Linked DNA regions of Neurospora crassa OR74A. The protein of the gene in region 1 purifies or fractionates together with the protein of each later gene. This does not show direct contact. Links are inferred from orthologs where the notes say so. Each region holds a gene or a part of one and is shown in the gene's direction. Other genes may lie near its edges. The genes, in order: act, hat-4, NCU06854 and NCU01843.

Region 1 (4,153 bases):
GGATGAAGCAGACGCCAATAAGTGGGTGGTGGTGGTTGTGGTGGTGGTGTTGGACTGTGGCAATACCTCGTTCTCATCCCCAATGAGATGGCGTTTCCTTGGAAATGACACCGCTGCTGGAGGTCCCCGTACCGTATGGACCCAAGTGGTGCATACCGTAGGCTACATATCTATCTCCGTCGGATCCCGGACCGGGGCGGCCATGGAGCCTTCAAGACACTCGGGCCCCGGGGCCATGGGAATTGCGATCCGGACAAGCTCCAAGAGATCGTGATCAGCCAGGCTCCAACAGAAGAGACGGTAAAGAAGACATTGGATCTTCTGGAATTGCAATCGCGGTTCTCCAGGAGGAGTAATAAACAAGTAATGAACGGGGTACGACAAGGGACAGCGACCAGGTACGACGGCAACGACGCAGGGGAGGGACATTAGGTTGAAGAAGACTGAACGCTGACACAACGTCGGGGGCGGACCCAGCCACGCACCACGCTCCCACCGTGCTCACTAGGTACTACCTACGCTACGTACAACTGAACCGTCTGTCTAGCTGCACCCGTCGAACGGCACGCAGCGGTGACGACCCCGGCCGTGCTGCGATATGATATCCTTTTACATAGTATACAAGTCAGGTCGTGTAGGTATCCAATGTAGTTAGGTAGACTGAAATCAAAGGGGATCTTGAACGGGCTGCCAGTTGCCAGACGGGCATTGATGTCAACCTAGACGTCGCCTCCGAGGTGCGGAAGCCTCCCAAAGTGTGTTGGCGGCAGGAAGATCCCCTTTGCCCTCCCAAAATTAGGCGGTGTCTCCTACCCACTTTCCAGACGGATCGCAGGCCACTCAGGAATCCACCTTGAGCCACCTCGAATCAGGCATGATACTGCGACTTGACAACTTGTCCACGAAGATGCCAGAGGGCAAGGGGGCGGTGCGGCCAGTGATTTGATGATTTAGAGTAGGGGTGTGGAAAGCGAACAGCGAGGGAGAGGGGACGGCCTGGGAAGAAGGCAGCGCAGTTACCTCTAGGTTTGTACTTGTAGTCTACTGTGGTGATCCATCCCGTCGTGAACCGGGCAACATGGAGTGCAGGCAGCGCAGCAGCCCGGCGAGGATGAAATGAATGCTTGTTGGGACCTGGAAGTCGGCCGGGCACTCACTGTCAGTACCACTCAGTGACATCGGTGTCGTCCTTGCCCGCCTTTCCTTCCTCCTCCTCCTCCTCCTCCGCCGCCAAGTCCCACAACCACGCCGTGAGGTGACCAGGCCCAGTCCAACCAACTGGACCTAGCAGCCAGCAATGCCCAGTGCAGACAGTCCCGGCCCAGTCCCGTCCCCAATGGAATCAACCGTCCCCTCCCCTCCCCCCCCCAGTCCGCCATCCGTTCCCTCGCACCTGGCACCACAGCAATCCCATCCCCTTACCTCCCCTACCTTTACCCCCCTCAATCCACCCGCCGCCTCGTACTCCCAAAGCTGACCTTAAATTCACCTCCCCTTTTCCAACTCTTCCGCCTACCGAACAACATCCAAATTTTTGCCCAAACAACGTCTCTACGTCCTTCGGCAACACCTCTCTCAGCCAAAGCATCATCGCTCCATCGATCCGGGAATCGTCGAGCGTATTTAATAACTCTTCTTCTGTACCTTTTGCTTAATCCGACACTTTTCGTCACCACCTAATCTATCACAATGGAGGGTACGTAACAACATGTCCACATTCCTGCCCAGTCTGCCCGCGCTGGCGAGCTGGTCGCCGGCGGATCGGACTTCTACCATCGCCATCTCCCTCTACTGGTTATCATGGGCACAAGCTGATTCATGCGTTCCCGCCAACAGAAGAAGTTGCCGCCCTCGTCATCGACAATGGGTAAGCTTTCCCCTCCTTTTCGCCTGCGCCTCACCGACTCCTAGGAGAAGCGTCATATTCCTCCCGCAATCGACGCCTCGCGGCCCCCCCATAGCCCGTTCTACATGGTGAACAATGACGATGGACAGTAGCTAACAACCGCCCAGTTCGGGTATGTGCAAGGCCGGTTTCGCCGGTGATGACGCCCCCAGAGCTGTTTTCCGTAAGTGTTCCCACTATTCCCGCGAGGTGCTCTTGCTTGAGACGGGCAACGTGTCAGCAGAGCTACTTGCCTCCCCGCCAAGACCCAACGTCCCAGCCATGCTAACATGTCGCGATAGCTTCCATCGTCGGTCGTCCCCGTCATCATGGGTATGCATGCCACTTTCCCCCCCGCGTCCCGTGCGCGCAACACTCCAAGACTTTCAGAAAAAACTGACAACATGCCAGTATCATGATCGGTATGGGCCAGAAGGACTCGTATGTCGGTGATGAGGCTCAGTCCAAGCGTGGTATCCTTACTCTCAGGTACCCCATCGAGCACGGTGTCGTTACCAACTGGGACGACATGGAGAAGATTTGGCATCACACCTTCTACAACGAGCTCCGTGTCGCCCCCGAGGAGCACCCCGTCCTTCTTACCGAGGCTCCCATCAACCCCAAGTCCAACCGTGAGAAGATGACACAGATCGTTTTCGAGACTTTCAACGCCCCCGCCTTCTACGTCTCCATCCAGGCCGTCCTTTCTCTCTACGCCTCCGGTCGTACCACCGGTATCGTCCTCGACTCCGGTGACGGTGTCACTCACGTCGTCCCCATCTACGAGGGTTTCGCCCTTCCCCACGCCATTGCCCGTGTTGACATGGCTGGCCGTGATCTTACCGACTACCTCATGAAGATTCTCGCTGAGCGTGGTTACACCTTCTCCACCACCGCCGAGCGCGAAATCGTTCGTGACATCAAGGAGAAGCTCTGCTACGTCGCTCTCGACTTCGAGCAGGAGATTCAGACCGCTGCCCAGAGCTCTTCTCTCGAGAAGTCCTACGAGCTTCCCGACGGTCAGGTCATCACCATCGGCAACGAGCGTTTCCGTGCCCCTGAGGCTCTCTTCCAGCCTTCCGTCCTTGGTCTCGAATCTGGCGGCATCCACGTCACCACTTTCAACTCCATCATGAAGTGCGATGTCGACGTCAGGAAGGATCTCTATGGCAACATTGTCATGGTAAGTCCCCGTTCGCTGTGGAGATGGCAGTATAGGCTAGGTCCGCTAACAGAATCGTCACTAGTCTGGTGGTACCACCATGTACCCTGGTCTCTCCGACCGTATGCAGAAGGAGATCACTGCTCTTGCTCCTTCTTCCATGAAGGTCAAGATCATTGCTCCTCCCGAGCGCAAGTACTCCGTCTGGATCGGTGGTTCCATTCTCGCCTCGCTCTCGACCTTCCAGCAGATGTGGATCTCCAAGCAGGAGTACGACGAGAGCGGTCCCTCGATCGTGCACCGCAAGTGCTTCTAAAGTGGGTGCCCTTGAGAGGTGGTTGTTGCAGTTGGAAGCGGAGCGTCGTCGGCTTACACCATGTATGTAGTTCAATAAATGGACAAATCCACGACTGTCACGAGCCAGCGCCAACTGGGGACATAACACCCCTATCTGCGTCAAGTAGCATGTCTGCATTGCGCGTGTATTCTGCACAGGTCTCTCTTATACAAAAAGTAGCGAGCGTGGTCAGAAGGGGGCTGGCGTCTCTTTTCTCTACTAGAAGACATAAATAATGGCCTTTTTTTTCTGTTTTCTGGGTGGGCGGCGACGGCTGCGAATGCGTGGGATAGGCGCGGTCAAGTATGCGGGCTTCTTGATCTTGCCAACACCCTTTCTCTATTTACTACACTTTTAGCAGCAAGATTTAGTCACCACTGGGAAATTCGAGGTTATCGTGGATGAAGAGATCATCAAAATTCAAACAGCGTTCTGTATTTCTGAGCACCTTCAGCTGCCCTTTCGTTGGTCGTGAGATACGTGCAAGCCAAGGAGAAAAGGGGAATTGCTAGCCGTCAAGGTATCGGATCCACCGTAATGTCTTATTGACTTGAAGGGGAGGCGGCCATACCTACCGAATCCAACTAAGCGATCCTCACCGCTTCAGGAACCGAGTAACAAGCAGCCGTTTCCTTATGATCAAACATGGCCAGGATTGCAAACCAGTGGCAGAAACCACAGATGGCTTTTCGCTGACACAATGGGTAGGTATTCTTACTGTCTAGTGTCTACCGCCATCCGCATTGTTTCCTCCGCGCTTCTCAGCCTT
Region 2 (7,601 bases), on another chromosome or scaffold:
GGAGGGACGACACAAAGGCTATTCGAAGCGTGAAGAGTAAGTCGTCGGTCCCTTGTGGGGTGTATCATTAGCTAACGTCTGTAGCTTCATTAACCACTACATATTCCCTGGAGGATACCTCCCATCTGTCACGCAGTTGATCAACCACATCACGACCGAGTCCAACGGAACGCTCATTGTCGAAAAGATCAAGAACATCGGTCCACATTATGTCAAGGCGCTGAGGCTGTGGAGGGAGGCCTTTATGAACAGGTTTGACAGCGTGATCGTGCCGGCCTTAATGGTGGAGCATCCTAGCTTGACGGAGACAGACGTTGAAGTGTTTAAGCGGAAGTGGGAGGTGAGTTATTCTTCCGGTGATTGGAGTTGACGAAGCTGACACATGGTCCAGTACTACTTTTCGTATAGTGAGGCCGGTTTCCTGACCAAGACGTTGGGCGATGTGATTATCACAGTTGGCAGGGAGGGTGCGCTTGAGCTGATGGAGGGTATTCCCTTGTGATCATTACTGAGGAACGCAGTGAAGATGATTTTGCCTCCAGTTTCGTGTGCAGCAAAGCATTATGGTGATCATGGCCAGTAAGGAAAGGGCGGATGTTGGTGATTGTTAGAGATGGTTTCGGGCAGCAACATATAGACCGCGGCATGGCATCTTGTGAGTTTTAGGCGTCCGTTTGCTAGTTTCACTCGGATTGTATGCGAAGCAAGAAAACGACGATCGATGTCAAGGACAAGATAGATTTGGCTTTCTGCTGTTTGATCAGTTGCTGATGAGAAGAGCTGAAGAAAGCAGGAATGGGTATACCTACACAAGAAAATCTGGGGATGCAAACATGATATCCAGGTAAAGGCGGATAGGCACCTTAGACCTAATAGACTCCTCCCTCCTTCCATCTCTTCACTTCTTGCCCTTCTTCTTCTTTCCTCCTCCACCACCACCACCATTACCTCCTTTCTTCGCCTGCCCCTCCTCATACCGATTACTATTCTCCATATCAAACCCATGCTTCTCCTTCCTAAACAACAGCATGGCTACCCTCGCATCCTCCACACTACTATGCTGTCCCTGATGAATCTCGATGCCCAAAACCTCCTTGGCCAACACCCTTAAACTCGGCTTCGGCCCATGTCCATACTTTCGAAACCCACTGTACTTGGCCGTATCCCTAATATCCCGATGCGGATGCTCAAACCCCAACACCTCCAAATCATGCTTGACATCATGACCCACCAATATCCGACCTTTCAAAAGGGCAGCCACAGTTGCTTGTACGGACTCGAACGATCGTGCGGACGCCATGTGGCGCTTGGAAATGCCTGATACATGCGTGCGCCAGTCGGTCACGAAAGCAGTGGGGCGAACGTACGAGTCGTAAATTTGGTGTCCGTGGAAGTCGACGATGGAGCATCGAGCGAGGACACTGGTGGCGCCCGAGGGACCGGTGCCGACCATTTCGCAGTCGATGGAGAGGTATTTGCCGAGCGTGTTGGACTTGGTTGCTTGCAGGATTAGTGCGAGGTCGGTGGTGGTGGAAGTGTCGAGTGTGAGACCGTTGGAGAGGGTGAGGGATGAGGGAAGGTCGGTTGGTAAGGGGAGGCCATTTTTGTTGCTTTTAGGGGAAGAAGAAGAATGGCCGGGGAGGGTGAGGCCTGCGTTGGGGATGGCGGGGGGGAGGGTGGAGAGGAGAGGGATGTGTGAAGAAGAAGAGGAAGAAGAGGTGCCGCGGAGGCCAAGGTTGTACGCTTCGGCGAGGGATTCAGAGGAGATGCCTTGTTCGTCGGCCCAGAGGTGGAGGGAGGGGAGGGTGCTGTTTGGGGAGGAGGAGGTGGTGGGCTTGGATTGGACGTTGCCGCCCATTTTTTCTTCTGTTGGTTTTTGGCTGCTGGGTTGAGACTGGGTTTGGGACTTTTGTCTTTTTGGCTTCTTGGAAGGGTTGGAGGCTTGTTGCTGTTGTTGACTCTCCTCGGCCTTGCGCTTGAGGGTTTCGGAGGAAATGGACTTTTTGGAAATGGCTTGCTTGAAAGCGGCTTCTTGGCTGATGGGAGCTGATTTGGTTGGTTGAGGGGCCTTGAGCTTTTCTTGCAACTTCTTCCAGTTGGAGGAGAGTTCCGGGGCCATGGTTGGTGACAGGAGGGTCTCCTGCCTTGGTGATTTTGATGGTGGTGGTGGTGATGGAGTGTTGAGTCAAGACAGACAAGTGAGGGTGTCACTGCCGATGAGGGATCACTTGTGGTATGTCCAATCACAAATTGGCGGCCGAGGTTATGTGGAGTCCAATTGGTGCTGAATTCTTATTTGGAATGAGAGAAAGTAAACAAAAGGTTGAGACAAACGGAAGATTTCCAGAAGGTGATAACTTTTTTGTATGAACGTGAAAGTGGATGTTGAATATGGGCCCCACTTTGGTGTTCACTTAAAAATTCAACTGGGGAAATCGGTTCCTGGACGATTGACAGGGTAGGCAAGCCATGCAGGGATCTGCCGCTGTGTCCCATTGCATCCCCGCTGAAATGACGGCCCAAACACGTGGGCTCGCCACTGAAGGACCCCTCCAAAACGTTCGGGAAGCGTCCACTGAAAGAGTCGCTGAACACTACAAAACACTTCAAGACTGACGTCGCGCGTCGCCCGTCAGATTGATCGCATTCAATCGCCCATCGTCCACAACCATCAAATCTTGTCGCAAACCATCGCAAGTTATCGACCGAATCATATACAGTTGGATCACACATAGCCGCCATCATGAGTCCCCCAGGTGGCGATGCCACTGTCGGCTCCGACGAGAAGCGACAGAAGGGCAAGGCGACGCCCGACACCATCAAGTATGTTTCCGTCCCATCATTGTCCACGGCACCCCCCATCGTCGTTGAAAAACCAGATACTAACACCACCAAACAGAATGGGATGTATTGCCATGGTGATGAAAGAAGGCCAATTACGACGAGCAGAGATCCTCAGTATCAAAGACACCAAGTCCGGCCGGCAATTCTACTGCAACTTTGACAACTTCAACAAGCGTCTCGACGAATGGGTGCCGGCCGCCAGAATCGATTTCGAGCAGGACGTCGAGTGGCCCAACCCGGACAAGGACAAGCAGAAGGACGCCAAGACCAAGAAAAACAACTCGACGGTATCCAAGAAGCAACCGTCCAAGAAGAACAACCAGAAAAAGGCCAGCAAGAGGGAGCAGTCAGTCGCATCGGACGGGCAGACACCACACCCATGGACCGAGTTTGTCGAAAGCCAGCCAGGGAAGAATAACAGGCAACGGGGGAAGACGGAAGATGGAACCGACGTCAACGCCAGTTTGGAGGTTGGTGGGGACAAGGGAGTCAAGAGGAAAGCCGACGAGATCGATATGGATGAGGACGAAATACCAGCCGCTAAGAAACAACGCCAGCCGTCTTTTTCCAGGGAACAAGAGATTGAAAAGTTGCGAACATCCGGCTCCATGACACAGAACCCTACCGAGATCTCGCGCATTCGGAATATCTCCAAGGTGGAATTCGGCCGCTACGTCCTCTTCCCGTGGTATTTCTCGCCCTACCCGCAGATCTTTGACCAAGAAGACTGCATCTACATCTGCGAGTTCTGTCTCTCGTACTACGGCGAGTTGAAATCCTTTGTGCGTCACCGACAAAAGTGCACTCTACACCACCCGCCCGGAAACGAAATCTACCGGGACGACTACGTCTCCTTTTTCGAAATCGACGGGCGACGTCAGCGCACCTGGTGTCGCAACCTCTGCTTGCTGTCCAAGATGTTTCTCGACCACAAAACCCTTTACTACGATGTCGACCCGTTTTTGTTCTACGTCATGACCACCCGCGACGACCGGGGGTGCCACATCATCGGGTACTTCTCCAAAGAAAAAGAGTCTACGGACGGCTACAACGTCGCCTGTATCTTGACCCTTCCGCAGTACCAACGCAAGGGATACGGTCGCCTGCTCATCCAATTCTCGTACGAACTGTCCAAAATCGAAGGCAAGCTCGGCTCGCCCGAGAAGCCCCTGTCCGATCTGGGTCTGCTGTCATATAGACAGTATTGGTCCGAGAACATCATCGATATCTTGCTCGGGTACAACGAGCGAAAGGAAGCTTGCACGATTGAGAACATTGCTGTTGCCCTGGCCATGACGACACAGGATGTGGAACATACGTTGCAGGCGCTCAAGATGCAGGTGTACCACAAGGGCGAGCACAAGATTGTGGTACCGGAGAAGCTGATCAAGCAGAGGGAGAAGAGCAAAGCGAAGCAAAAGAGGCTGATTGATCCCGAGAGGATCCAGTGGAAGCCACCGGTGTTCACGGCGCTTAATCGGACATGGGGGTGGTAGTTGCTCTCGCTCAGCAAATATTGAATGATACACCAAGACGACACACTCGTGACACCACCACACGGATTCATGACCCAATTAAAAGAAAACGAAACCATCAGCATTACGCCAACAAAAGAAGATCAATTCCTGAATCGATCAGATACTGGAAACCTTGCAGTAGTGTATGCAAACAGAATGGTCATTAACATGGCCGCAAAGTGCACTTGACCTTTGTTGGATTTTTACAATGGTTTCGTTGATTTATTGGGTCATGGATACAATAGGTGGTATGTCGTCTTGGTGGATCATTCAATATTTGGGGAGCGAGCGCTCTTACTGCTGGGATGTCTGTGTTATTCTCGTTGTAATAGTCATGAGAACAAGATTGCATGGGTAGCAAGCGGGTTGGTTAGTATGATATGGCGTTGGTTTTTGTTTTGGACGGGCACTTGGGGAAATGGCTTACAGGAGGGGGGGAAAAAGGAACACCATATGTATCACTATTACGGCCAAAAGCACCAGAATGGTTTGTCATTTCTTTACGAGTGATTAGGAATATAATTACCAGGATAGAGAAGCAGAGCCTAGTCATAATCTCTACTCATGATCAGCGAAAAAGCCTGTTTGCTACAGCACAAAATCTTGACGAAAGTTTAGCTCAAGATTCCCGACTTTACTATTGAGAGCATGGCTGCTTTGGACGTCATCAAACGTGGGTGTATTCCCCGATCTTACAGACCGCTTTCGCAGATTTGAAGCTTGTGACTGGTTATACCGGCTAGTCGTCGGAGATCTCCCGGGCCGCATTCGGTAGTGAGACCTCCAGACGTCACCTCATCCATTGCTTGTGTTCCGTCAGCCCCGTCCAGCCCCACACCTCCGGCCGGCCGGCCCCGCAACCTAGATTCCCCGCAATACGACATCATTCACGACGGCGATCACGACGGACAAATGGGTTAGGCTGAGATAAACTGAATGGTTTCACCACGGCATTTGAGATTCACTCGCTGCCAGGTTAATAACAAAGCTATGGTCCCAAAACCACCACCAACCTTATCTAGGTTCCACTCATCTCACCAACAACTCAACATTCCAACGTCTTCATCACTCCAAGTTAACATCAACACATCAACAACATTAACAACAACCACCGCCAACATGTCCCCCTCAACACCCCCCGCCCTCTCCGACCCCGACGTCCCAACCCCTCTCTCCCAACCCGGCGAAAAGAAACAAATCAACCTCCTCCGCGGCTGGCCCTCCCCCCACCTCCTTCCCCCCTCCCACCTTCTCTCCGCCAGCACCTCGCTCCTCACCTCTCCTCCCGAAGACGAACCCTCATCCAAATTTTCTTTCAACATCCCCGCCCTCCAATACGGCGCCGACCCAGGCTACGAACCCCTTCGGCACTCCCTCGCAGCCTGGTTGACCCAAAACTATACCGCCCACGAGACTTATCCGTCCCATGGGTTTCCTACCCTGACGACGGCAGAGCAGATTTGTATCACGGGCGGAGCGAGTCAGAACTTGGCGAATATCCTGCAGGGATTTACGGATCCGGCGTATACGAGGGCTGTGTGGGCGGTTAGTCCGTGCTATTTTTTGGCGGTGCCGATTTTTGAGGATGCGGGGTTTGCGGTTGGGAATGGGAAGCTGAAGGGGGTGAGGGAGGATGAGGAGGGAGTGGATTTGGAGGAGCTGGAGAGGGGGATTTTGGATGTGGAGGGGGAGAAAGAATGGCCTGGGAAACCGGTGAGTTTTGTGTTCTGTTGTTTGGGTGTTCGGTGAAGAAAAAGGGGGGGGGGGGGGGGGGGGGGGGGGGGGAAGTGAGGAATGAGGATGCAAAGAAAGGAATATATGGAGTAGCGGGAAGGAAATCGAGAAAGGGGATAGAACCCCTCTTCTTGGATTTTATATCGCTACCCTCCTGTTCGTCCATGCTCACGACACTCACACCCAGTCCGACTTTCACTCCCACTTCCACTCCCACCTCTCTCATCACCACTTATACCCCCATTCAGAATCACAACTAACAGCCCCCAGGTCTACAAAACCCCCGGCCCCCACCGCAAATGCTACAAACACATCATCTACCTCGTCGCCACCTCCGCCAACCCCTCGGGCATCACCACCTCTCTCTCCCGCCGGCACGCACTCGTCCAACTAGCCCGCAAATACGACGCCCTGATCATCTCCGACGACGTCTACGACTTTCTCCAATGGCCCGTCCTCCCTTCTTCCTCTCCTTCCTCTCCCTCATCTTCCAAAACCACCATCTCCCTACCCACTCCCCTCCCCCGCCTCTCCGACATTGACATTTCCCTCGGCCCCTCCCTCCACGACCTCTCTCTCTCCGCACACTACACCCGTTCTTCTCCTTCCAGTATCCCCAACGAAGATCACCAAGTAGAAGACATGCAACCCCTCTTCCCCACCCGCACCATCGCATCCCTCCACTTCGGCCACGCCGTCTCCAACGGCTCTTTTTCTAAACTACTATCGCCCGGCCTCCGCACAGGCTGGACGCACTCCACGCCCGCCTTTGCTCACGGGCTCTCCCAGACGGGAAGCACGCGCTCAGGCGGCGCCCCTTCACAGTTTTGCGCGGCGCTCATTCACGAACTCATCCAGTCTGGCGCGTTAGATAGGCATTTAAGCGAGGTAGTCCGTCCGGGCTTGCAGAAGCGACATGCGTTGACGATGGATGCAATCAGGCGCGAATTAGTGGTGCCGTTGGGGGTGAGAGTGATTGAGGATAATCGGACTGGTGCCGAACGCAAGGAAAAGGAGGGGGAGGTGTATGGGGGGTACTTTTTGTGGTTGGAGTTGCCGGAAACGGGATTCACGGCGAAGGAGGTGGCGGAGCGGGCGCTGGAAGAGGAACGACTGGTGGTGAGTCCGGGGGAGAATGCGGAGGTTAGTGGGGAGGGAATACCGAAGGAGAATGTGGGGATTAGGTTCCCGAGACATTTGCGGGTGTGTTTTAGCTGGGAGGAGGAAGAGGATTTGGTGGAGGGGGTGGAGAGGTTGGGGAGGGTGTTGAGGAAGATGATGGAGGAGGAGGCGAAGGAGGGGGGGAAGGTAAAGAAGGTAGGTGGGGAGGGGTTGAAGGCGTTTAAGTGAGGGAGGGATAGCGTTGTTTTGGAGTAGCCGATGAATAAATAAATATGTGATCAACATGCTTTTTCTAGTGCAGATATCGTCTTTGCTATGGTCGTTTACCTCAGAAGGGAGATTCGAATGCCATATCAAATTAATTGTGACAGTTGATGACACTGC
Region 3 (7,702 bases), on another chromosome or scaffold:
GCCGAAACCTGAGTTACTTTCGTCTCCAGATCCGTAACCTGTTTGACAAGTCCCGAAACATTCGTCTCTTTCATCCCCAGGTCTGTAACTTGTTTGGTAAGCCCCAAGATATCCAGAGGGGCCTTGGTCTCCAGATCTGTAACGCGGTCTTTGAGCGCCGGGAATTGGAATGACACAATCTCGGCTGCTTCATCCAGCGCTACAAAATCGACGTTCTCTAGCTTCTCCTCCTGTTTTGCCATCTTTTGCTCAAACTCGGCAACTTGAGCTCGGACCTGGTTAAGTTCTTGTTCTCTGGTTCCCAGCTGGTAGCGCAGGTCGGCGAGCTCCTGTCGTAGAGACGCTACCTCGCTAGCAGAGCTTTGCTTGGAATTATCTTGTGCCGTGGCGCGTTGTTGCTCAAGCTGCTGCTCGAGTTGTTTCTCGTACTTCTTTTGTTGCTTGGCTAGCTGTGTCTTGAGTTCTTGCTCTTGGGTTTCCTTAAAGTTTCTTAAGTCTGACTGCATCTTGTTGATCCGTTCTTCCAGTTTGGTGCTCTGTTTCGGAAGGTCTTTACTCTGCTTTGCAAATTTCTGTTCAAAATCTTGTCGCTGCTTAGCCAGCTCTGTTTGGAGTTGCTTTGAAAAGTCTTCTTGCTGCTTCGCGAGTTTGTTTTGATACTCTCGTTGCTGTTTGCCAAATTTGTCCTCGAGGTCCTTGAATCGGGATTCCATGTTTTGTTGGTCCAGAAGTCGTTTAGATTCGAGACCGTCGTAAACAACTTGCAGCGCGTCAATCCTGGTTTGTGTGAAGGACTTATGATCTGATAAAGCTTGCTCCAGTTCAGCGATCTTGTCGTCGTACTCCTTCGAGCTAGCAGAAGCTGGAGGCAATAACGCAGCTGGCAGCTGACCAGACTTCATCAGCTGCAGTAAGCAGGAGAGGAAACCCTCTCTTGCCCTTTTGATACCATCTTCAGCAACACGCACCATATTGGAATACTCCGCACGTCGCTTGGTGTCGCGATCCAGATACTTCTTTTGAAGTTCCGGTACTGAAGGGAAGTCTGCCAGCTTAGCCGTGCATTTTGTGTACTCGGCTTGCCGCTTTTCGAGTGCATCTTCAGCCTGAGTGAGGTTATATTTGTGCGTAGTATAACTGATAAGAGAGTCGCACAGTGCCCTCAGACATTTTCCCATCTCTGCGTCTGATGTACTCCTGGAATTGCTCGTAGGAGATGAGGCAGTGGCCGCTGCAATAGAGATTAGCACTCGTTTGATCTCTTGATTTGATCCGGGATAGCTATTGATAGCTTACGCGTGTTCAATCCATGGTCAGGTCGAGCACGGTCGCCGGCTGATGCGGTTTGTGTGTTGACTGTCAGGCCTCTTGCAGGTGCATCAGACAAGCCGCGGTCCCGGTCGCGATCCCGATCTCGATCCCTATCCCTATCCCGGTCCCGATCCCGGTGTTGACTATCACTCCAACTGTTTGGTGGCCTGTTGGGTAGAGAACTTGCATGACTGGAACTGGGCCTCCGTTCATCTCTGTAAACATTACGAGGCTGGCTATCGCGACGCGGATGGGGGTCTGCCGATGGTCGGCGGTCGCTTAGAGTGGAAGGCCGCCTCGGGTACGAGTCCGGCGGCCTGGAAGACATGGTGCGTGACACCAGGCGGACGGATGGGGGTGTGCAGTGAGACGAGACGCTGCAATCAAGCGTGCGCCTAACAGACAATATGTGGCGAGGTATAAGACGAGAGTGTAATTGTGACAATGGTGGGGCTGACCTGTGCCAGCGGTACAGACCGACGTCAGTCAATGTCGGAATTGAGCCTGAAATGTGTGTCGATGTTCAATATTGTAGGTTGAAGATTGTAATGCGATACCGATGCGGGTAGACGCGTAGATAGAGTCAAAGTTTTAAGAGGCCCCGCACCTCCTCCAGACGGGAATGAGATCAGACTAGGGCTTGCCGCACAAAGATACAACAAGCTGATGTATTTTTCTGTTCCTTGTCTAAATGGACAGTCGAACTAATAGTTCTGAATGCATTCCGGAACGCCAGGTTTACAATCGTCGAAGATGTCCTAGGGAGAAGAGAGAGGGGAAAAAAAAAAAGAGGAAAGTGTCTGCCATTTGGGTGGGGAAATTGGTTTAAATATTTCTGGGGAACTACTATGAATGAGCCCAAGGTAGCAGAGTTGCAGATTTGCAGCTCTTCCACTCCCAGGTCACAAAACTTCTCCTGTACACTCAAGGAAGGCGCTACGGACCCTTGTCATTCTGTCCCTTCAATGGCCAGTCATAGTATGTAGGTATGACTGGCCGAACGTCACATTTATCTTATTGATATCTTCAAGTTGTATTACTATTTCCTTCAGCTCTTTCATTCTCGCTCCAATCAAACATCCACTGCATTGGTACCCTATGTCCCTCTACACTTAGCCTGGGTTGAGGAGGATGACAGCATGCCTCACATATAGTCTCCTGACCCAAGAATCCCCTGAGGGCCGCTTCTAGCTTCAGGTCCCAGTGAGTAGCGTACCTACCTACACTACTTACTTGCGTCCATGTTTATTTTGCATGTTTGCATCTTCTTCCCTTTTGCATCCGAGTCACGAACCCCTGCCAACACTGTTGCCTTTTCAAAGAACTTCCATCTGTATATAAACAGGTCGTCCGACTTGCTTAGTTCTCTTTCCAAATTGACTGCTGGACAAAGAGGCTTTGTGTTGTGATGATCAGCTCAATCAATCGAATTCCGATGTGGGTCTAAAATCCGGGGCCTTGTGGGACCCCCAGGGCCGCGCCCGGGAAGGTTCAGTCCCACCCGCCGGCACAAGTCCGAGGACTGTCTTCAGTTCCTTCAAGTCTCCGCCCTTCTCTGTCACCGTTTGGATCCTCAGCCACAGTGGCGTGTAAGTCGACGTATTGTTACGTAAACTCGGTAACAAACCACTCGCTGGAGGCCCCGGCCTGTCTACCCATGCACGCAATTGGAGAAGTCGCTGCAAAGTTCCATCACAGCGCGCGGCGACGCGCACTGCAGCTTTGAACTTCCGTCGTCGTACTTCTCGCTCTTTTTCAAGCACATTCCATCATTCACTGCCAAACCATCCCTGCATCCACCTGCAAACTAATCCATCACCACCCACCCACCGTGATACCCAAATCCAAGCGACCTTTCTTGGAAAATTCTGTAACGTCAATCGGCATATTCAATATTAATATCTTGCAAATCAGTGGGCAATATGGCTGCTGTAAGCTCCCCACCTACCCCCCAACATCACAATACCTTGACGGAACACCAGCTGACCTCTTGTGCCCATGCCATAGCAGGTCGTTACCGTCGGAGAGAGTAAGGACCTCCGGGGTCTCAACCTCATCGCAGCGCACTCGCACATCCGCGGGTTGGGCGTCGATGCCGATACACTCGAGCCCAGGGTTGCCTCCCAAGGCCTTGTCGGCCAGGAGAAGGCGCGTAAGGCGGCTGCTGTCGTTCTTGAGATGATTAAGCAAGGGAAAATTGCCGGCCGTGCTGTGCTGATCGCCGGTCCGCCCAGGTTAGCTCGTCTTGCTGTGCCAGTCCTCATGCGCATACCGTTTCGTGTACTGACCTAGCTATGGAAAAACAACAGTACGGGAAAGACTGCTCTGGCCATGGGTATGGCCCAGTCCCTCGGCACCGACGTCCCTTTCACCACCCTTGCCGCTTCCGAAATCTACTCTCTAGAGATGTCCAAGACCGAGGCCCTCACCCAAGCATTCCGCAAGTCGATTGGTGTCAGGATCAAGGAAGAGAGTGAGATCATGGAGGGTGAGGTGGTGGAGATTCAGATCGACCGGAGCGTTACCGGCCACGCCAAGCAGGGCAAGCTTACGATCAAGACGACCGACATGGAAGCTATTTACGACATGGGCAGCAAGATGATCGATGCTATGACCAAGGAGCGCGTCATGGCCGGCGACATTATCTCGATAGACAAGTCATCTGGAAAGATTACCAAGCTGGGCCGATCGTACGCAAGGTCGCGCGACTACGATGCCATGGGCGTCGACACCAAGTTCCTGCAATGCCCCGATGGCGAGCTACAGAAGCGCAAGGAGGTCGTCCACACAGTAACGCTGCACGAGATCGACGTCATCAACTCGAGGACCCAAGGCTTCCTCGCCCTCTTCTCGGGCGACACGGGCGAGATCCGCAGCGAGATCCGCGACCAGATCAACACCAAGGTGGCCGAGTGGAAGGAAGAAGGCAAGGCCGAGATTGTGCCCGGTGTTCTGTTCATCGACGAGGTGCACATGCTCGACATCGAGTGCTTCTCGTACATCAACCGCGCACTCGAGTCCGACCTGGCCCCCATCGTCATCATGGCCAGCAACCGGGGCCACTCCAAGATCCGCGGCACCGACTACAAGAGCCCCCACGGCCTGCCGCTCGACTTCCTCGACCGCATTTCCATCATCAACACGCACTCGTACACGCCCGACGAGCTCAGACAGATTCTCACGATTCGCGCTCAGGAGGAGGAAGTCGACCTTACCCCCGACGCGCTCGCCCTGCTCACCAAGATCGGCGCCGAGGCCGGCCTCCGGTATGCGAGCAACCTCATCACGACGTCGCAGCTAATCTGCGCCAAGAGGAAGGCCAAGCAGGTCGGCGTTGAGGACGTCCAGCGCAGCTTCAAGCTGTTCTACGATCCTGCCAGGAGCGTCAAGTTCGTGCAGGAATCGGAGAAGAGGCTCATCGGCAGTGATGGCGTGGTCGATTTCCGTGTCAATGGCGGTGCTACGGGAGAGCCAGCGGCTACTGCGGCTGGTGGTGATAGCATGGATACCAGCAGCTAAACAGTCATGGGACAATGCGCTACAAGGATTAATGAATAATCTTGGGGTTATGATTTTGTTTCGTCTAGGCGTTTAATTGGGATGGCTCATCAAAAAGGCGTCTTTGTTATGATAACACTGTTTTCTTAAGCTTTATGTGTGCCTAGTCGTGGTTTTTTGTCATGTTACTGATTATGGTGATGGCATGGAGTCTGCAAATATCCGTTTGTATCATACAACGAATCGAATCAAAGTCGAAGCGTGGGGTAGCAGGAAAGGGCATAGTAGGGACGAATGACGACCAGCTGCTGAGGAGTTCCCAGCATGGTGATAAGGCTTTTGATTCTCTCGTCGCTTGGAACCGGGGGTATACTATCACACACAATCGTACAAAACCTAACCATGATGATCATACGAAGGCTGCAACCCTAGACCACTCCCCCTCCCCTCCGCCCACCGGCCTGAACTCAACCGCCTCCTTGAAGTATCCCGCATCCTGCCATGCCTTCATGGTGGGCCCGTCATACGGCCCTTGGCTTCCTCCTCCGTCTCTCCCATCTGTCCACCTAAACTCCCACATTTTGGGTTGTCCGTTTAGTGACGATGGCTGCTCTTCCTCCTTTTCAGGAACAGTAGGCTCCACCCAGGTCTCGCCCGTCTCTGCTCTATACTCTCTCACCAACCACTCCCTCTCCTTATCGTAAATATCCGGATAATCCCTTCCCAACAACTTATCCGCCGCCTCAGTAATGGCATCAATCGCCTCCCTGATCTTTTTCTGCTTCGGATCCTCCACTTCCTCCTTCTTGTCATCCACGTCCATCGAATCGATGCCCTGTTTCCTTTCCTGCCTCTTTTGCTTCCACTTGGGCACCTTCTTGGGCCCCTTGGTTTGATCTTTTCCAAGTCTTGCCAGCGCCTCCAGCGCCGTCTCCCCTTTTTCGAGCGTCAGGATCAAGTTTCTAAGCAAGTCCCCAGTGGCGATCTTGTCATCTTCCCTCTCCTGCGCGCGCCTTTCCGCCTCGCGCTTCTCGTGCGCCAACGCCGCTTTTTTGATTTCCTTTTTGGACAAGCCTTCCAGCCACTTATCGTGCACGGCATTTTGGTCGGCCGCTTTGCGGATGTAGTTGCCCGCCTCGTCAAAGGCACCCTCTTCATTCTCGGCTTGCATGTTGAAGGCGTCAATCTTGGGCGCATGTTTCTTCAGTCCGCCTAGGCCGACCTCTTCGTCTACTCCCTCTTCGGCGATGGCGGCTGCTATGGCTTCTTCGTCGTCGTCGTCTTCGTCTTCGTCGTCCGATTCGGCTGAGGCGGCGGGGTTGATGTTGATGGTTCCGCCAGCTTTGGAAGAGAGGTCTTGCCCTTCGATTTCCGAGTCGGCGAGGAAGTGGACGGATTTTTTGTCCTTCGCAGAGCCACCACCGGCTGTCGTTGGTTGAGCACCGTCGTCGTCTTCCAAATCGCCAAACATGTCTACCTCGTCATCTTCATCGGCATCTTTCCCTGCCCCGTTGGAAGGCTTGTTGTAATTATCCATCATCTCGGCCAGATCCACGTCCTCGGCGTCTTTGCCCTTCTTGCGGCTCTTCCCTCGGGCTTCCGCGCGGTCTTCCAGGTTGTCATTGTCGGAATCGGAATCGTACCCATCGATGTTGACCGCGCCGCGCTTGGTGGCTCGGGAAAGCCCACCGATCACGTCGGCGGCAAGAACCTCCTCGTCAGCTTCGTCGAGGTCGTCATCGTGCGCTGAGGGCGCGAGCGCGGAGGGGTTGCGCACGTCGAACTTGACTTTTTTGTGGGACGGCCCGCTGGAGGTGTCGTCGTCGTCGTTGGAGCGCGATTCGCCGTGGTGGGCGCGGGCGTAAGCTTCGCTGGCGCGTTTGGGGCGCGCGGCGGAGAAGCGGGAGGACATGGTGGTGGCTGTTGTCTTCAATCTCGTGTGTTGGTGTGTAGGCGTTGACGTCAGCGTGTAAAGGTTATGTCGTCTTGATAGAATGGCCTATTCTGCCCCTGTATCGCAGACTTTGTGTAGATATGGCCTGAAATGATGACTGTTTTGCCTGGGTCGACGGCGAATGACAACTCTACAAGTAGAGGATGGTGTTTAAGAGAGGATCTAGATGGCGAATTGGGAATATCAAGGAAGAACATCACTAGAGGTACCTTACCCGTTGTCAGCCCCAACGGATAACATGGAGCTCTCCACTGCCATCAAGGTCCAGAGCGTTCTGCAGTGGACAGGCAGCGCTCAAGGTACCTTTGACCTAAGCGTTTAAGAAGGGGGGGAGCTCGCGCCACGGCAGCACGGTTTCACAGATCTGACGCCACGGCGGCACCTTCTCACCCCGCCAATCCGGGCCGCCGAGGCGGCAGATACATAGAGGTAGGTACTGTACGGTACCCATGCCAGGGCTCCAATTATTACCTAACGTGCCTGTAACTTTCGGGCCCAGTTATGTCATCTGCGTTGTTGCCTTTGGAACCTTCCACGCGGTCAGGTTATTTCAACATCGTCGCAACCTCCCTTTCACTATCGCTTGTCACGCTCTGCTGTTCCGGATCCCACTACCTATTCTGCGAAGCTTACCTCGAGATCTCCCCTCTTAATACAAATTCCCTGTCGTTTCCCTTTCTGCAAAATACTTTACTCCATCTCTAGCAGCTCCCTCGCGATCATGGTAAGCTATCCTTGTCCTCACGCTCGATTATCAAGACAGCTTTTCGACCCCTCTATCTCTTGAAACATTCTAACATGTGCCCATGACAGTATGGAGACATCTACAGTCGCGCCACTGGTCGCTCTCGGGGCGCGCAACGCTTCGATGAGTACTACCGCTGCTACCCCCTTGTCATGGCGCCCGGTGCCGAACGACCTGAACTCAACTACGGCTCC
Region 4 (7,474 bases), on another chromosome or scaffold:
GCACTGTTGCACGGTGCACCTGCCCAGCCTCTTCCTTCCCCAACGTAACGATCGCATTCCAAACAACAACCTGACTCAAACAGCTTTCGACACATCCACGACCATCAGTATTGGATATCTATGATAGCGACCCGGTCGAACTAATAACAACCCTTTTTGGCTGTCTTGTCCGCGAGGACGACAATGCGAAATGGCCCGCCTCAACGAACAAGCCATGTCGTCTGTCGCGTTGTCAACAGACAATCTCGAGCTCCGTATGTGTCGCGACTCCGTCTCCCTGATTGCGCCAATGCGACAACACAGCTAACCTCATCGCGTCTTGGCAGTGCGTAGGAAGTTCCTCAGACAAAACAGAGATATTGCTCGAGTCAATTCCACACAGTCACTCCGTATCCGTGGGTTGGAGAATGAATGCGCTCGTTTGCTGTCGGAAAACCTCGAACTCCGTGGTCAGGTCTTGCGCCTCGAAAAGGAGCTCCAAGACAACGCTGCGCGAAGGGTGGCCGATCATGCGCTCGAGGTCAAGGCCAAGATGGAGACGCAGTTGGCGGAACTCAGTTCGCTGCTGGCAAGCTTAGGGGAGCCGCCCTCGAAGCGGCGCCTTTCAGAAGAGAGGCGATACGCGCAGCCTCGACCGAGCGTTCACCGGAGCCCTCCCTTACGAAGAGCACGCCAGGAGGCCGACCAGGAACTACTGGCTGAGCAGGAAGGAAGGCTACCGCCGATATACGAGAACAAGACGTATGCGCGAGCCACAATGAAGTAGGTTGCTTGCAGTTCCCGGTGCATGATACATTGAAGCATATGGCTGACAGCCAAGCAGCAGTGAAGAAATCCTGGCGCTGTGCATGCAGGCAGACGATTCGAATGACTCGCCAGATATCGGACCGCCGCCAGTATCTAGGTTTGTCGAGGATGATATGGTCATACCTTGTTCACCATCGCCAAACAAGAACGCCGAGGCTGAAGAAACGGAAACTACCGAGCAAGTGGAAGAGAGCCCTAGGGCTCTTCAAGTACCGCCGTCATTATCGCCGCCTAAACTGGACTACGACAGGAGACCAAACATGATCCTATTCAGCCCACCCAAAGAATCGAGAGTGGCAGAACCCTCCAAAATGTTCAGTCCCCCTCCGATGGAACCACCGAAACAGTCCACATCGGCTGTACCGAGTGAGACAATACGAGCAGGCCTCAAGCGAAAGTTGAACGGCGACAACCAAAACGAACCCAACAAGGCAACCAAGCTTCAACAAGGAAAGGAGAATGGCAATGAGACTGGGATCAAGAAAGGACTCTCTGCCCGCGACCCGCACAAGAGGAAAAGCATCAAAGAGACCGCAACGAAACCGAGAGCCCCGCTGTCAGCAAAGAGCACGAACGAGCACATTGTCTCTCCGAAGAAGCCGGCGAAGCCCCACCAAGTGGCCGACGATTTTAAGCCGGTGAAGGTGCACAAGGCGTCAAAGGGTAAAGAGAAAGTCGACCTGCCCGCTCCGGACAAGAAGTCAGCAGTAGAAGAAACGCAAGGAAATTCTACGTCGGCATTCACGAAAGTCGAGATCCTCCCGCCGGCTCTGGAACCTACTCCTGAAGTTGCAGAGATTCCTGAAACCGATATTCTGATCACACCTGGAACACCAGAGCGCGCCTCTGAAAGCACTGTTGTGACCCACGATACCCCGCCGCCAGCCCACATTTCATCCAATGGAGAGACGTCGCGGCCTAGCAGGCGTGCTAGAGCGGCTATCAGCTATACAGAGCCCAATCTGCGCGACAAGATGCGACGACCGACCAAAGAGCTCTTTGATGCCGTTTCTGGGGAGGGCAAGTTCCTACACAGGCCGACATCGCAACAGCAACAGCAGCAACGCAAGGGCGACGAGTCAGCACCGACGTCAGTTAGCAAGGTCAAGGTCGAGCCATCGCCGGCGGTGGATATAAGTAGTCTGACCAGCAGTGCGCTGTTTGAAAAAGAGAAGGAGAAGGAACCACAGCCGGATGAAGGAATATTATCTCCAAACGGCATCCTCCCAAGCTCAGTAGACCTGGGAAGGAGAAGACGCGCCTCATCCTTCTCTACTGCAGCCCCTGCAATGACAATTCCTTCGGTCCAAGAACAATCAACTCTAAACCTCCCAGCCGCGGACGAGACCGATGAAAACGCCGCGGTCGAGGCTCAGATTCAGAAGGAGCTGAGTAATAGTATTACAACACGGCCCAGGGGTGGAAAGGGGAGGCAATCAATGAGCCGTTCCGTACCCACGATCCCAACAGAAAATTACGAGCACGAGGACGCACAACTCTCGACGAACTCAGCCTCGGTGGATCTTTACGACTTTGCTAGTTGTGCGTCTCCGGATAGCGCAGCACCCCAGCTAGAAGCGACTACCGGCGATGTTCCTGTTAATAAGAAGGCACCCAAAGGTTCAAGAAGAGCGTCCTCAGCTGCTTCGACCGAGACAACAGCAACAGCATCCGCAAAGCCAAGATCTTCCCGAAAAAGGGCTTCGATGCTGGTGCCGAAGAAAAGCTTGTGGGCTGAAGAGTTAGCGCAGGAGGAAGAGGATGAGGAAGATGTCGGCAATGACAGTGGCGGGTCCTTGTCCAAGGGGAGGGCCTCGAGGAGGAGAAGCATGATGCTTTGAATGGACCTTGGCAGAGCTGGGGAGCCTGAGATGGAATTGTTGTATAGTTGTTTCACACGGCACAGCGTAAGGCGTTTGGTGGTTTACAGGATATGGAGCTGAATCACACGTGGAACTGGACAAGAGCTCCCCCCATGACTGTACTTAACAAGCAAGCTAGCATGTTTGGATAGCTCAAACATGGAGAGGACATGACGCAAATGTATTTTATGACCTGTATAAGAATATTCCCCCTGATCAAGCATCAACAATGCGTTGCTGCGCGACCGTTAGCGCTGACAGCTGGCAGCGGATGCCACGACACTGGACGTTTCTTCCGTTCTGTTCGGCAGTCCTCTGCCCCACCTTTCAGTCCATGGTGGGGTGCCGTCCACTGGCGACGAAAGCGGCAGGGAGCTTGGTCCAGGTCGATTCCATCAACTTTTCGGAGGGGGTCCAGCATCCCACCTTGACCTACCTGAGGTTGACGCTGAAGCTGCCTGCCCGATCATTGAACTGGAGAACAGCAAACAACAACGGCGGCCATTCCTTCTCCAGATTTTTGCCAACCATCCTGCTTCCCCCCCGCGCATTCTGAAGCATCACCATCTGAAGACATAGTCTATACCTACCGTACAGCTTTCTTCTTTTCAGTCACCACTAAAGCAACCCATATAAATCAGGCACCATGCAGGCACCGGTCCTGGTAATGAGTATGTTCCAGCGCTCGAAGCTACCTCTTACCCCTTTTCGCACTGATATTGGGGATATCCTCACTTGTCAGCCGGCAGTAACCATGCAGCATACTGACTGACCTTACCTCCTACCCTTACAGACACCAACAGTGGTGAGAGGCAGACTGGCCGCAAGGCTCAGATGTCCAACATCGCCGCCGCCAAAACGTACAGTTCCCAGGCCCTTCCCCCCCTAATAGCGGATAAGACCGCCTTTCACCCCGCCATGGACCTTGACTGACCGCCCCCCCTCGGCTCGTAGTGTCGCTGATATCATCCGATCCTGCCTCGGCCCCAAGGCCATGCTCAAGATGCTTCTCGATCCCATGGGCGGTATCGTCCTCACCAACGACGGCCATGCTATTCTCCGCGAGATCGAAGTGTCGCACCCCGCAGCCAAGAGCATGATCGAGCTCAGCCGGACACAAGACGAAGAAGTTGGTGACGGTACCACAACAGTCATCATTCTTGGTAGGGAAATCTTTGGCTACAGCTGCGCCGCATACCGTTCACTGACAGGTGGTATTCACAAACAGCCGGCGAGATCCTCGCGCAATCCCTCCCCCAGCTCGAGCGCAACATCCACCCCGTCGTCATCATCTCGGCCTTCAAGCGCGCCCTCAAGGACGCCCTGCAGATCATCGAAGACATCTCGCTCCCGATCGACATCAACGATGATCAGGCCATGTACAAGCTCATCTCGTCCTCGATCGGCACCAAGTACGTTTCCCGATGGTCGGAACTCATGTGCGGGCTAGCGCTCAAGGCCGTGCGCACCGTGACGTGGGAGCAGGGTAATGGCAAGAAGGAGGTCGACATCAAGAGGTATGCGCGCGTGGAGAAGGTGCCGGGCGGCGAGATTGAGGACAGCAGGGTATTGGATGGCGTTATGCTCAACAAGGACATCACACACCCCAAGATGCGCCGCAGGATCGAGAACCCGCGCATCATCCTGCTCGACTGCCCGCTCGAGTACAAGAAGGGCGAGTCGCAGACCAACATTGAGATCACAAAGGAGGAGGACTGGAACCGCATTCTGGAGATTGAGGAGGAGCAGGTCAAGCAGATGTGCGAGCATATCCTTGCCTTTAACCCCGACCTTGTTATCACAGAGAAGGGTGTCTCTGGTGAGTTCGACTCCATAAATGGGAAGCGCGTATCACGTCGGTGGCAGGAAAGCTAACGATGATTTCACTCACAGATCTCGCACAACACTATCTCATGAAGGCCAACGTTACCGCGCTCAGACGTGTGCGCAAGACCGACAACAACAGAATTGCCAGGGCGACCGGCGCTACTATCGTCAACCGAGTAGAGGATCTCCAGGAATCCGACGTTGGCACTAACTGCGGCCTGTTTGAGGTCGAGAAGATTGGCGACGAGTACTTCACCTTCCTCACAAAGTGCAAGGACCCCAAGGCCTGCACCGTCCTTCTCCGCGGTCCCTCCAAGGACGTTCTCAACGAGATCGAGCGCAACCTGCAAGATGCCATGGGCGTGGCGCGCAACGTCATGTTCCACCCCAGGCTATCGCCCGGTGGTGGTGCGACCGAGATGGCCGTGTCCGTCAGGTTAACACAGCTCGCGAAGAGCATCGAGGGTGTCCAACAATGGCCGTACAAGGCCGTCGCCGAGGCCCTCGAGGTCATTCCCCGTACACTTGTCCAGAACGCCGGCAAGAGCCCCGTCCGTGTGCTCACCGATCTCCGCGCGAAGCATGCCGAGGGCAAGAATTCGTGGGGTATCAACGGCGATACTGGTGCCATTGTGGATATGAAGGATTACGGAGTCTGGGAGCCCGAGGCCATCAAGGTGCAGAGCATGAAGACTGCTATCGAGGTATGTTTGGACTTTTTTTGTCTTTTTTCTTGACGTTCAGTTTCGATGCTCTCTAACTGTCTACTAACCATCTATACAAACAGGCTGCCTGCCTCCTATTGAGAGTTGACGATATCTGCAGTGCCAGAAAGGCACAGCCAGGTGTCGGTGTCAGCTCTGGCGGCGGTGATGAGTAAATGTTATGAACGGTGCGGGTGGGTAGCCCAGGGTCTACTGAGTTATAGTCAGTCCGGCAAAAGGTGGTATGATATCCCGTTAATGATTCTTTGGTGGTCCACGCATAGCACCCATTGCATGAGCACCCCTTTATGTATATGCTAGATGGACCTTGGCATGGTAGATAAAAGGGGTTCTGAAAGGCCTGGTCGAGAGGTCTAATCCTTGTTCCGTAACCCCGAGCGTGATGCTGTCTATGCTTTCCCCCGTCGCTGATGGTTGCTCTACTCGCTTGGGTAAAATCAATACTGTCAACATCCCCCTTTAGTCGTCTTCAACGATAAGTAGCCCAGACTCCGCATTTCCGGGTACTACGGCCCCAGGAGCAGCCGCCGCCGTGGCCGAAGTAGACTTGTCCGCTTCCTTTGCGGTACTCTCCCCAGCGGTGTCGTTGCTAGTGGCTCCAGCTCCGGCTGCACGCTCCTTTGCGCCTCCCTCGTCCCCAGTCTTTGCAGTCTCTTTCTTCTCAGCCCCGTTTGCTGTCGTCACACTCCCTCCTTGACTTGCACTACCATTTCCACCTCCACCTCCACCTCCACCTTTGCCCCCCTTCCCTTTATTCTTCTTCTTGTCCCTCTTCTCCCGATTCCTCCTTGTCTTTTCCTCATCCGCCCTCTCCCTCTCCCTCTTCTTGGCTTCAAACTCCTCTCTCTCCTTCTCCTTCGCAACCTCCTCATCCATGATCCTCAGCCGTTCGTACTCCCTCCTCCGGGCAGCTTTATATACATGAAACTCGCCCGATCCCGCACCGGCGGAAGAACCCTGAACGTTGGTGACGATTTCCGGAGGGGGAGGTAGTCGAGAGGAGCCAGAAGTGGTGGAGGAGGGGAGCGGTGGGATGATGATTTCTCGGTCGGGTTTGGCGAAGAGTTGTTGTAGGTGGGAGGCTTGAAGGGAGGTGGGAGAGGAGGCGCGGAGACGCTTGGTGGGGCGGGAGGAGAGGCGGGAGGTGGAGGTTGGGATCGAGGAGGGGTCGTCGGCTGACATTTTTGCGCCTTTGTTTTGTGTTTTCTGTTGACAGTGGTCTGCGGTGGCGGCTGCGGCTGCGGCTGCGGTTGTGATGATGGTGGTGGTGGTGGTGGCTGTCGGGTGTTGCCTAGGTTGAGACGCGGCGGGTTGTTCTGGTTCGTGACGTTCTGAGGAGCGAGGCGCGCGCACGCCGTTGAGTTTGTTGCTCTCTTTTGTGGTGCGATTAAGCGCTGATTTGGTGATGACGGTGGGATCACTAAAGTTTGCTGTTGCAAATGCTGGAGGGCGTCGAGGCGGAGATGTGAAACTGGAGTTGAATTTCGGCCGGAGAATGAAGTCGCGACAACGGACTGGTCGATCGCAGCGATGGGGTTTGGTTCATTCCAGATCGACCAAATGCGACGCTGAGCTCAGCTGCAGCTGATGGGGGAGCTGGACCCGTTGGACAAGGCTACAGGGCTGATATTGGTGGTCTGTGCGCGTGGCTGTTCAGTGGCCGTTTGACCTTTGATGATTTCAAGATGCTGTCTCGATTAGAGTCCCACCTTGACAGCTACAAGCTCCAGGAATCCCGATGTCTGCAAAGTCACGCGATCAAAACCACATGCGTCAAATGATATGGCTTGGTCTAATGTGGTTTGGTGTCACGGAATGGTCATGGAACAGACGGAGAGCTAGTAGCCAAGCTTGGGGAAATTGAATCATATGTCTTCTACACGTGGTTATAACATGATTGTCACGATGTCATGGATATCGTATGTTCCCACGTCGATTGTGGTGTGCCTTTTTACAAGGCCATCTTGGAATTCATCCATCCAGCCCGTTTGTTAGCCAAAGATGGCCATGTCTGGTCATCGGTAATGTACGGTTACATACTGCAGTACATAACACGGGAAGAAGCCGCCAGGAACGAGTCCGGTTCGCTGCTGTTGGCGCCGGCTCTGTCAAAGACGCTGCAAAGTTGCGGTGACATGCGAATCCAATTGGGAAAGAACCTAACCTCTGTTGAGTGTTAACAGTTCTGATTGGCTGAAGCGTCAGAAAGACGGAGAACCCCGCGCATCCAGTCGGGCCAGAAATGGGGCGCGA

What was found.
Region 2: the proteins of act (region 1) and hat-4 purify together in Saccharomyces cerevisiae (affinity purification with mass spectrometry; 10 studies listed by BioGRID, with this or other methods). This does not show direct contact. The link is inferred for Neurospora crassa OR74A from reciprocal best matches to the Saccharomyces cerevisiae genes ACT1 and ESA1.
Region 3: the proteins of act (region 1) and NCU06854 purify together in Saccharomyces cerevisiae (affinity purification with mass spectrometry; 4 studies listed by BioGRID). This does not show direct contact. The link is inferred for Neurospora crassa OR74A from reciprocal best matches to the Saccharomyces cerevisiae genes ACT1 and RVB2.
Region 4: the proteins of act (region 1) and NCU01843 purify together in Saccharomyces cerevisiae (affinity purification with western blotting; 3 studies listed by BioGRID, with this or other methods). This does not show direct contact. The link is inferred for Neurospora crassa OR74A from reciprocal best matches to the Saccharomyces cerevisiae genes ACT1 and CCT3.

What each region holds. Positions count from the first base shown.
Region 1 is NC_026505.1:5,085,417-5,089,569, forward strand, and holds act (actin, variant), read left to right. Parts: upstream 1-1,353; 5' UTR 1,354-1,689; coding exon 1,690-1,696; intron 1,697-1,836; coding exon 1,837-1,867; intron 1,868-2,013; coding exon 2,014-2,069; intron 2,070-2,187; coding exon 2,188-2,218; intron 2,219-2,296; coding exon 2,297-3,068; intron 3,069-3,132; coding exon 3,133-3,363; 3' UTR 3,364-3,364; exon of another isoform or gene 3,365-3,433; 3' UTR 3,434-3,831; downstream 3,832-4,153. Other genes in the region: NCU04174 (hypothetical protein), read right to left, coding at 4,106-4,153. UniProt on the Saccharomyces cerevisiae protein: Actins are highly conserved proteins that are involved in various types of cell motility and are ubiquitously expressed in all eukaryotic cells.
Region 2 is NC_026504.1:5,714,998-5,722,598, reverse strand, and holds hat-4 (histone acetyltransferase esa-1), read left to right. Parts: upstream 1-2,600; 5' UTR 2,601-2,743; coding exon 2,744-2,823; intron 2,824-2,899; coding exon 2,900-4,340; 3' UTR 4,341-4,953; downstream 4,954-7,601. Other genes in the region: NCU05216 (methoxy mycolic acid synthase 1), read left to right, coding at 1-36, 85-340, 392-502; NCU05217 (RNA exonuclease 4), read right to left, coding at 899-2,119; NCU11146 (aminotransferase), read left to right, coding at 5,298-6,074, 6,366-7,445. UniProt on the Saccharomyces cerevisiae protein: Catalytic component of the NuA4 histone acetyltransferase (HAT), a multiprotein complex involved in epigenetic transcriptional activation of selected genes principally by acetylation of nucleosomal histones H4, H3, H2B, H2A and H2A variant H2A.Z.
Region 3 is NC_026502.1:1,744,117-1,751,818, reverse strand, and holds NCU06854 (RuvB-like helicase 2), read left to right. Parts: upstream 1-3,004; 5' UTR 3,005-3,233; coding exon 3,234-3,242; intron 3,243-3,318; coding exon 3,319-3,545; intron 3,546-3,620; coding exon 3,621-4,830; 3' UTR 4,831-5,218; downstream 5,219-7,702. Other genes in the region: NCU06853 (hypothetical protein), read right to left, coding at 1-1,231, 1,297-1,639; NCU06855 (hypothetical protein), read right to left, coding at 5,219-6,721; NCU06856 (ubiquitin fusion degradation protein), read left to right, coding at 7,485-7,487, 7,577-7,702. UniProt on the Saccharomyces cerevisiae protein: DNA helicase which participates in several chromatin remodeling complexes, including the SWR1 and the INO80 complexes.
Region 4 is NC_026502.1:2,189,658-2,197,131, reverse strand, and holds NCU01843 (T-complex protein 1 subunit gamma), read left to right. Parts: upstream 1-3,080; 5' UTR 3,081-3,315; coding exon 3,316-3,340; intron 3,341-3,462; coding exon 3,463-3,529; intron 3,530-3,623; coding exon 3,624-3,832; intron 3,833-3,897; coding exon 3,898-4,488; intron 4,489-4,562; coding exon 4,563-5,200; intron 5,201-5,204; exon of another isoform or gene 5,205-5,283; coding exon 5,284-5,376; 3' UTR 5,377-5,680; coding exon of another isoform or gene 5,681-6,403; 3' UTR 6,404-6,840; downstream 6,841-7,474. Other genes in the region: NCU01842 (hypothetical protein), read left to right, coding at 191-254, 327-762, 824-2,648; NCU01844 (hypothetical protein), read right to left, coding at 5,681-6,403. UniProt on the Saccharomyces cerevisiae protein: Molecular chaperone; assists the folding of proteins upon ATP hydrolysis. Known to play a role, in vitro, in the folding of actin and tubulin. In yeast may play a role in mitotic spindle formation.